2 linked regions of the Oryctolagus cuniculus genome follow. The protein of the gene in region 1 binds, or shares a complex with, the protein of each later gene. Links are inferred from orthologs where the notes say so. Each region holds a gene or a part of one and is shown in the gene's direction. Other genes may lie near its edges.

The links.
Region 2: the proteins of NMUR2 (region 1) and NMU are in contact, whole or in part, in a cryo-EM structure (PDB 7XK8), measured with the Homo sapiens proteins. The link is inferred for Oryctolagus cuniculus from reciprocal best matches to the Homo sapiens genes NMUR2 and NMU. Residues at the interface, in NP_064552.3 of Homo sapiens: Ser42, His43, Gly98, Glu102, Glu105, Met106, Trp107, Arg108, Asn109, Tyr110, Pro111, Thr123, Phe126, Glu127, Asn181, His185, Pro199, Ser201, Thr203, Cys204, Val206, Tyr213, Phe284, Arg288, Phe291, Glu295, Trp297, Ser298, Glu299, Ala302; in NP_006672.1 of Homo sapiens: Glu146, Phe152, Ala153, Ser154, Gln155, Gly158, Tyr159, Phe160, Leu161, Phe162, Arg163, Pro164, Arg165, Asn166.

The regions. Positions count from the first base shown.
Region 1 is NC_091437.1:39,388,140-39,392,580, reverse strand, and holds the start of NMUR2 (neuromedin-U receptor 2), read left to right. Parts: upstream 1-1,560; 5' UTR 1,561-1,847; coding exon 1,848-2,564; intron 2,565-4,441. UniProt on the Homo sapiens protein: Receptor for the neuromedin-U and neuromedin-S neuropeptides.
Region 2 is NC_091439.1:108,852,008-108,856,532, forward strand, and holds the start of NMU (neuromedin-U-25), read left to right. Parts: upstream 1-1,453; 5' UTR 1,454-4,196; coding exon 4,197-4,287; intron 4,288-4,525.

The DNA.
Region 1 (4,441 bases):
GTATATAGTTCCTATTATCTGATCTTTTAAAGACCTTACATGTCATTGAAATATTCCATCCCAATATTCAAATGTTTCTATTTCATCAGAAATTAATAACTCTGTTCCTTGTAATCTCAACAACAAAGCTCCTCATTCACGTGGGGCTCCTATTCTGGCTCTGGGATGTCTTTTATCTCAGCGATTACTGTTTTGTGTTCACCAGACTTTCCTGGTTTTCCATCTTCTGTGCACTTCCTGCACGTGCCAAAGCTGAGTGGATGCTTACAAGTAACTTGATCAATGAGCTCTGAGCAAAAGTGATACATGTTACTTACTGTGGGGCTAGAGCCTATAATTACCGACTTGAAACCTTCCACAGCTCCCCTTCCCCCTACTACAATGCTCATGAAAGTTCTAGAAGTGCTACTCATTAGCCATAGGTCACTAAGTGAGTATAGTCTGGAATAGACACTCCAGATATGATAAATCTGCAGTGTAGAAAATATATTTTTATCCTTTTAAGCCACTGAGATATGCCAATTACTCCTTATAGCCACATTAGCTATCTCATCTGGACCAACAGATGATTCTTGGACATCTTTAGTTTCATCATATAATTTATAAATTAAGTAGAATTAACATTCAGCAAGCATAACTTGAGGATATATAATATCCTGTAAGAGTTTACATGACCCTTAATACACTTAAATGTATGCATTCAAATCTCCTGATCCTTATTAAGTTTCAGTTATACTCCACATTTCTGAAATACATCAAGACTGTTTCTGCCTCAGGGCATTTGAACTTCCTGTTTCTTTTGCTGGGAATATACTTCCTTCATTTTTTTACATCTGAGTTTTCATCATCCAGACCTCAACCCAAAGGTACCTGCTGAGATAAAACTTTGACTATCCTTTGTAAATAATCACATATCAACTATCTGAAATTTTATCAATTCATCAGTTTGGTAGCATATTTTTAGAAATTCCCACTGTAAACAGATAAAACTCACAAGGGCTGAGAAATTTTTTTGTTTGCTCACTGATGTATCCACAAAGCCTAAAACATTGGCACAAAATGAATCCTCGAGAAGTATGTGTTAAACACAACAGAATGAATGATACAGATAAGGAAATGAGACTCTGAGAATTTGAGCAGCTTTCACAAATTTCTTTGTATATGCCTGAATCTGAAACTCACTGGTTTTTGATGCTGCCTACAGAGATTGAAATGTCAGATAGCAGGCAGGGCTGGCTGACATGTTAAGCGTCCTTTCGGCTTTGGAGTCCATTGTTGATGCAATCAGAACCCAAAAGTCGAATTGATCGTGCTTTTATCAGACAGCCTTGAATTTCCAGTGGAACAAGGTAATCTGAGAAAGTCCATTGATCTTCCGTTTTTGCTAAGCGACAAAGATCAATGGAGATTTGTAATCATCTATCCATGACCCTGCAAGTTCAATTCTTCCTTTCGCCCTGTTTGCAAAGTTGTGGGAGTGCCCACACTTGGACAATGTCACCGCCACACTCTGCTGTTTCCCCAGAGGTTGTCAATGCAGAGAAAGGCCTCCCCCTCCTTTCCTGCTCCTTGTGCACAAAGCCAGCACACCCCACTCAGCGTCCTCTCCCTGAGCAGCCTGCCACACACTCATTGGCCTGCGCCTGCCGAGGGGAGGGGCTTCTGTCTCAGGGGCTCTTCCACCGGCATCCGCGGTCTGAGCAGCCCAACCTAGAGGCTGAAGCGCTCACTCTCCCCCAGCCCTCTTCACGGAGCCTCTGCTTTGCCCAGCTCTCTCTTTTTCTGGCTCAGCTTGGGACAGCGCTTCATAGCAGGGGACACTTGGGTCTTAAACTGTGTTGTCAGTGATGGAAAGACTTGAGAATGCTACCTGGAGGCGCCAGCAGGACCTGGAAGATGCACTCAAGAAATACCTGAACAGCACGGAGGACTACCTGGCCTACCTGTGCGGGCCTCGGCGAAGCCACCTCTTCCTCCCCATGTCTGTGGTGTACGCGCTGATTTTTGTGGTGGGGGTGGTGGGCAATGTCCTGGTGTGCCTGGTGATTCTGCGGCACCAGAGCATGAAAACACCCACCAACTACTACCTCTTCAGCCTGGCCGTCTCCGATCTCCTGGTCCTGCTCCTCGGCATGCCCTTGGAAGTCTATGAGATGTGGCGCAACTACCCCTTCCTGTTCGGGCCGCTCGGTTGCTACTTCAAGACGGCACTCTTTGAGACTGTGTGCTTTGCCTCCATCCTCAGCATCACCACGGTCAGCGTGGAGCGCTACGTGGCCATCCTCCACCCACTCCGGGCCAAGCTGGAGAGCACCAGACGGCGGGCTCTCAGAATCGTGGCCGTGGTCTGGGGCTTCTCTGTCCTTTTCTCTCTGCCCAATACCAGCATCCACGGCATCAAGCTCCACTACTTCCCCAATGGCTCCTTGGTCCCCGGCTCTGCCACCTGTGAGATCATCACGCCCATGTGGATCTACAACTTCATCATCCAGGTCACTTCCTTCCTCTTCTACGTCCTCCCCATGACTGTCATCAGTGTGCTCTACTATCTCATGGGGCTCAGAGTGAGTATCCCGGCTGCTGGCTAGAGCCAGCATGCAGCCTGTTCCACTGATCCAAAGAGAATCATTTAGAACCAGGCAATCTTAGAACTAGAAATTTATCATAGAGACAAGCAGGATGAGCTCAGAGGGGGAAACAAAGCTGAAAGCTTTTTCCTCAAATGAGACAAGCAGGAATTACAACCACCTGTCACTTTCCATAGCTCACCTTTGATTCCTCTCCTCTTTGCTTGTGGCTCTCATAGTTAAGTGTTTCTGAGAATCACTTGGAAAACTTGCTAAGGATACTATTATGCACACTCTACACCCTTAGAAAAAAATTGGACTCATCTGGTCTGAGCTGTAGCCTCTTTGAAACAAGCACATCAGGCAAACTGGGGTTAGGTGGCCACACCTTGGGAAGCCCTTCTATACCCTACTGTCCTCCCTTATCTCTGTCAACTGCACCAATTGGTCTCAGGACAGCATAATCTTTCCCCATCTATACAATTGTGAAGTCAGGTCCCTCCTTGTGGTTGCTTTGACCCTTTGGTTAAAATATCAGATTAAAATAAAAACAAAAGAATATGAATTTCCTGAATGACATCAATTTGTTCCCCTGTACAGCAGGTAGAAACTGAGGGATGGGGAGGTGAATGGAGCTCTTGAAAGAGAGTAAAAGAAAATGTCAATAGAGATATTTGGGATTAAAACAAAACTATCACTCAGTTTTCAACTTAAATTGCAGGTTCCTTCCAGTACTCTCCATGATAAACTGATTTCTTTTTATTTTCTATTTTCTGAGTGTCAATTAGCTGAGAAAATATTTTGATAAGGGCAGATGTCTATATAGTTCTTCTCCTAGAATATTCTGTACTCAAATTCATAGAAATGGAAGTCTTGACTATGACAACCCACTTAAGGAGATGGCTCATGTCATAAAGTTACAAGGATGTTTAGACTCCCAAGTCCACGGGTGATATATGAAAAGCCACATAATTCTTCTGCAATGAGTTTTCCCATTTATAAAATGAAAAGGTCATAGCAGATTATCTCTACGTCTCCTTCTGGCTCCAACAATCTGTGATTCCTCAAAAAAGGGAGAAGTACTGTGAGCAGGAGCAACAGGAGTTGTAAATGGAAGAACAGAGCAGACAAACTCACAGCACACACTTCAAGATGGTTCTGGTACCATACATGACGTGACAACTAGCACACTCCCACATCAGTTCACCTCTGAGAAAGGTAATTGTCAGAAGCAGTGCCACAGAAGCAGATATTCTGAATACCTGTTGTCTCTAACAGGAATGGCAAGGTCTAAGGAAAAATAATAGATTCTAAGTGACACAGACACCTGGGCACAAGGATAAATTGAATCAGGCAGACTCGTGCCAGTCTCCTTCTGAAGGGCTTTGTCCCTGTATTCCCAGAAACATATGTCACCCCAGGCTAGTGTGTAGCCATGTCTTTAAAAGCCTCATGATTCTCACTGAGGGGGAAAACTACTTCACAACTCCAAGTATCCTAAATCCTTGGAGAAATCCCCGCCCAGAATTTGTCAATTCTACCCTGTCTAACATCTATGAGTCACTCATCTTTGGTCAGTTAGGGAGTAATTTTCAACTCTGAATAGAAATCACATTCTTCCCCTACAAACCGCAATAACTCCAAGTGTCACTGTATTTTGTTTTCAGGAACCCACAGCTAACTTATATGAGGAGCTAAGCGACAGCCAAGACAATAAGCAGCTTAGAAACCAGTCAAGTTTCCTTTATGTGTGCAATACACCTTACAACACTCTGCTCTAGGAAGACTGAGGTGCTATCCAAGCTACCAGAGGGTATCAGGAAAGGAGCTATGTGCCGAGAAAGTCACTCCTAAAATAACTTAACAATCTATAG
Region 2 (4,525 bases), on another chromosome or scaffold:
TGCTGTGGCCTGGGAGGGCATTGGAGATGGCCCAGGTGCTTGGGCCCCTGCACCCAGATGGGAGACCAAGAAGAAACACCTGGCTCCTGGCTTCAGATCGGTGCAGTGCCAGCCGTGGTGGCCATATGGGGGGTGAACCAATGGAAGGAAGACCTTTCTCTCTGTCTTTCTCTCTCACTGTCTATAACGCTACCTGTTAAAAAAAAAAAAAAAATCCAGGGAGTATATGGCGATGTTTGGCCAAAGACTGATGCATTTTCCTGTGCTGAGTTGCCAAGGCTGCCACCAACCCATCCAACACGTCTCCGTCACAGCTGGCCTGGATTGCTTTCTTTTTCTTTTAAAGTCGTGCTACAATTCACATACCATAAAATCTGTCCTTTCAGAGTGCAGCATTCAGTGGTGACTGGTTTATGAACAAGTCTGTGCAACATCGCTACTGCCTGATTACCGTGCATTTCAACATCTCCCAGAGGAGACCCACCCACGCACAGTCACTCTCCCCAACCCTGCAAGCCACTCAGCTGTGTTCGGCGTCTCTGGCATGCCCTACCCGGGACATCGGGAACAGACGGAATTAGACAGTATGCAGCCCGAGCGATTCTGGATCTTTCCCGCGGGATCATGTTTTCCACTTCCTCCCTGCAGTGGCGAGTGCCCCTGCTTCTTCCTGGGGCTCCAGGGGACTTCTGCAGTGGCATCTCTCCTGGTGTCCTGCTTCTGCTGGGTCCCCAGAGCCAGCTGTCCACTGAAGCTGCAGGGACCTTTTCAGATGTCAATCCCATCATCCTCCTCTTCTGCTTCAGATCCTCCAAACGATTCCCCTAATCAGAAAAAGACGTGAGCTTATCACGGCTTCCTGGACCTTCCCATGGTCAGGGCCCTCCCTGCCACTTCTCCCCTCACTGAGTGCCAACTGCACTGGCTTCCTTCTGCTCCTTGGACTTCCCAGGCATGCTTCTGCCTCAGGGCCTTTGCACAGGAGGGAGCCTCTGCCTGGGTTCTTTTTTTCACTTCTACTCTTGCGCCTGGTTCCCTACCTTTCAGGCCTCCCATATCACTCCCTCGGAGAGGTGATCCTGGCTCAAGAGTCTTTTCCCCCAATTCCTAGTCACCTTTTATTCTTTCATTATCCTGGTTTTTTCTTTGTAGTAGTTACTGTTACCTGAAATTGCTATTTTTATTTATTTATTTATTTGTTATCTGACTCTTCTTTTAAAAAAAAAAGATTTATTTATTTGAAAGACAGAGTTACAGAGAGAGGTAGAGACAGAGAGAGAGGTCTTCCATCCCCTGGTTCACCCCCAAGATGGCCGCAACAGCCAGAACTGCGCCGATCCAAAGCCAGGAGCCAGGAGCCCCCTCCGGTTCCCCAACGTGGGTGCAGGGGCCCAAGCACTTGGGCCATCCTCCACTGCTTTCCTGGGCCATAGCAGAGAGCGAGAGCAGAAGAGGAGCAGCCGGGACTAGAACCGGTGCCCACATGGGATGCCGGCGCTTTCAGGCCAGAGCTTTAACCCACTGCGCCACAGTGCTGGCCCCCAATCTGACTCTTCTTGAAAATCTGCCAACTCCACCAAGTCACGACTTTACCTGACTCAGTGATCGCTTGCCGCCCACGCTGCTAGGATGGAGCATAGTAGATAGACGCTCAACTAGTATCTGGAGAACCACACGGCTATCTTGCCCAGAACCCACAAACCTTCCGGATCTTGCCTCTATGCTCAGTTCCTGAATCCGAGTCTTTGTCTATTACTTTATTGGTAACAGACTTCATCTGTTACCTTCCTGCCAGCTGGACATCCTGACTGGTTAGACCTCTCTGCTCTCTCTCCAGTCTCCTGATGCTCTGCTCTCTGCCTCAGTGCCTCCTGTGACAGCTTCCCCAACATCACTGCACAGAGCTCGCCCAGACTGGGATCCCAGGCCCATGACCTGATGGAACGTCCATTCGTCCAGGTCTTACCAAGAACCAGACTTTCAGACACTGTCGGTGCCACGCTGCAGCTGGTGGCAGGGACAGAGGGAGGAGCTCACTCTCAGCGAATGAGAACAGCCTGGAATTCGGTGACCAAGGCTCCTGGGATTAGGACGAGACTGGGATTAGCTGCTTTGAGAATGCGTGGACTAAGCCACAGGATGCGTGACGTGCACGTCCTTTCTTAAACATTCCCTTAAAAATAACAAGCCAGGGGCTGGCGTCGTGCAGTGAGCTAAGCTGCCACTGGTGACGCCAGCAGCCCATATCGGAGTGCTGGTCCAAGTCCCAGCTGCTCTGCTGCAGATCCAGCTTCCTGTTAGTGTGTCTGGGAAAGCAGCAGGGCAAGGCCCAAGTGCTTGGGCACCTGCCACCTAGCTGGGAAACCCGGATGGAGTTTCATGCTTCTGACTTAGACCAGACCCAGCTCCAGGTGTTGGGACCATTTTGGAGAACGGAAGATCTCTGTCTCTCCCTCTCCCTGTCTGCCTTTCAAATAAATAAGTAAATCTTTAAAAGAACAATAACAATAATCCGTGTTAAAGAGAGAAGCCAGCAGTGGGCAGGAAACATTTGCTGTCTTTGTAACCAACAACAGTTTCCGAAGACCTAAAGCATTGCTATAATCAGTGAGGAAGAAAGCTGAGGACACCATGGGGGGAAATAGGCCAGAGAGATACAGGGACATCGCCCCGAAGAGGAGACCGCAGTGGCTGGCGCAGTCGTGGAGGGACAATCTCGCCAGTGAACTCGCAGCTGCACGGGAAACCCACCCTCGACTGGCGAATGTGCAGCCGTGGGGACTTGGTGGGACTCTTCGGAAAGCCAATCAGAACTGAACTGGATCGGCCTCTCTTAGCGAGCTCCTCCGAGTGCACACCAGGCAGTTCATACAGGCAGACACCGGCCCACAGCTCCAGGAGACCTCGCCTGGCTCATGCGGAACAAACGTGAGACCCTGAGTTGTGGCTTCTGCCCACTCCAAGCCGGTGCTGTCAGACACCAGAGACACGCACGGGGAGTGGGAGCCAGGGCAGGCCCACCTGCCTGCATCCTCACCTCACTGACATCCTTGGCGCTACCTCCCCACCCCACTGTGTGAATAAATCAGAATGCCAGCAGTCAAGCTAGTGCTCGCCCGCCCTTGAACCTGGACCCTGTGACCTGGGCTTCTGCACAGCATCCCGTAGCTACTGTATTCTGCCGGATCGCGGTGTTTCTGAGACAGCACTGTTCCAGTTTACCGTCTAGTAGCTGGGGTCCTCTACGGAAGTGCTATGGCTCCCAGTCCCCAGCCGTGGCTCCTGCCTGTCCCGGGCTGTGCGGGGGAAGCCGGGACTCCTTCAACGCTGCACTCAGCGCGAAGCGTCCCCCGCAGGAGCAGGGCCTGCGGCTCGCTCCCTCGGACACCCCCGGGCCTGGCGCAGCAACACCCCTCCCGAACTGGGAACGCGCGTCCGACCTGCGCTTTCCTCCGCCTTCCCTGCCTGTCACCGGGAGCTCAGAGAAGAGCCCTCGCCCCTCTTCCCGGAGCAGGGCATCGGAACGGTGTCAGCGGGGGTCCTGGGAGAGGCTGCAGCCCTGGAGTGTCCAGCTAGGAAGCAAAGGACTGGGGGCAGGGACAGCGAGGCCAGGTCCCGCCGGAAACCCGAGGGCGAAGGCAGCACAGATGCAGAGAGTAAGGGTTACCGGAGAGCCGGAGCCCGCCCAGAGCCGTGCGAGACTGGTGCGGGGTCACCCGCATCCGCGGACCAGGCGTCTCGCTGACGGGTCTCCGGCTTTGTGGGCACTTGGGGCATGGTCAGCAGCGCGGACGGCGCCCTTGAACCAGCAACGCTAGGAGCTTGGACTCGGGAGCGCATGGGGCCGGCACGGCTAAGCGGGCGCGAGAAAGAAGGGGCGCCCCCAGCAGACGCAGGAGCCACGAGAGCATCCCCACGTCCAGGGTGAAAACCCGCACCCCAGGCGCGCGCTGGGATCTTTGAAAAGCGGAGACAGCGGCGTACGCTTTTCCTGCCCGGCTTGCCCATCCCAGAAAATCAGGGGCGCCCTGAGTCACAGGCCCTGGCCGGGGGCGGCCGAGGGCTGACGCGCGCGGGGACCGCCCGCCGCCGCCGCCCACGTGTGCGCCAGATTTAAAAGTTGGGCGGCGGAGGCGCCTGCTGCAGGGTGCGCGCCGCGCAGGGTCCCGGGTCCCCAGCAGCCCGCAGGTGCCGAGATGCCGAGAGCCGCGCGCCAGCGCCCCGGGCCGGCCCCGCTCTCGCTGCTGCTGCCGCTACTGCTCGCCTGCTGCGCGGACTCCGGCCGAGGTAAGAGGGTCCCGGGCCGCCGCCGCGCCCCCGCGGGACCTCGCCTCGGACCGCGGGCGCCAGTGCAGGGGGCGCAGGTGCGCACGGGCCGGGGTCTTCCACAGCCTCCGTGCGTTGTTTCCAGCTCCCGTGGCCCTTGGGTGACGGAAACAAAAACGCTTCGCGCGCGATGGCCAGCACTGGAAGCGTTGAGGGTTGAGGCGAAGCCGGAGTGCGTTTGGGACTTCACCTGCTGCGG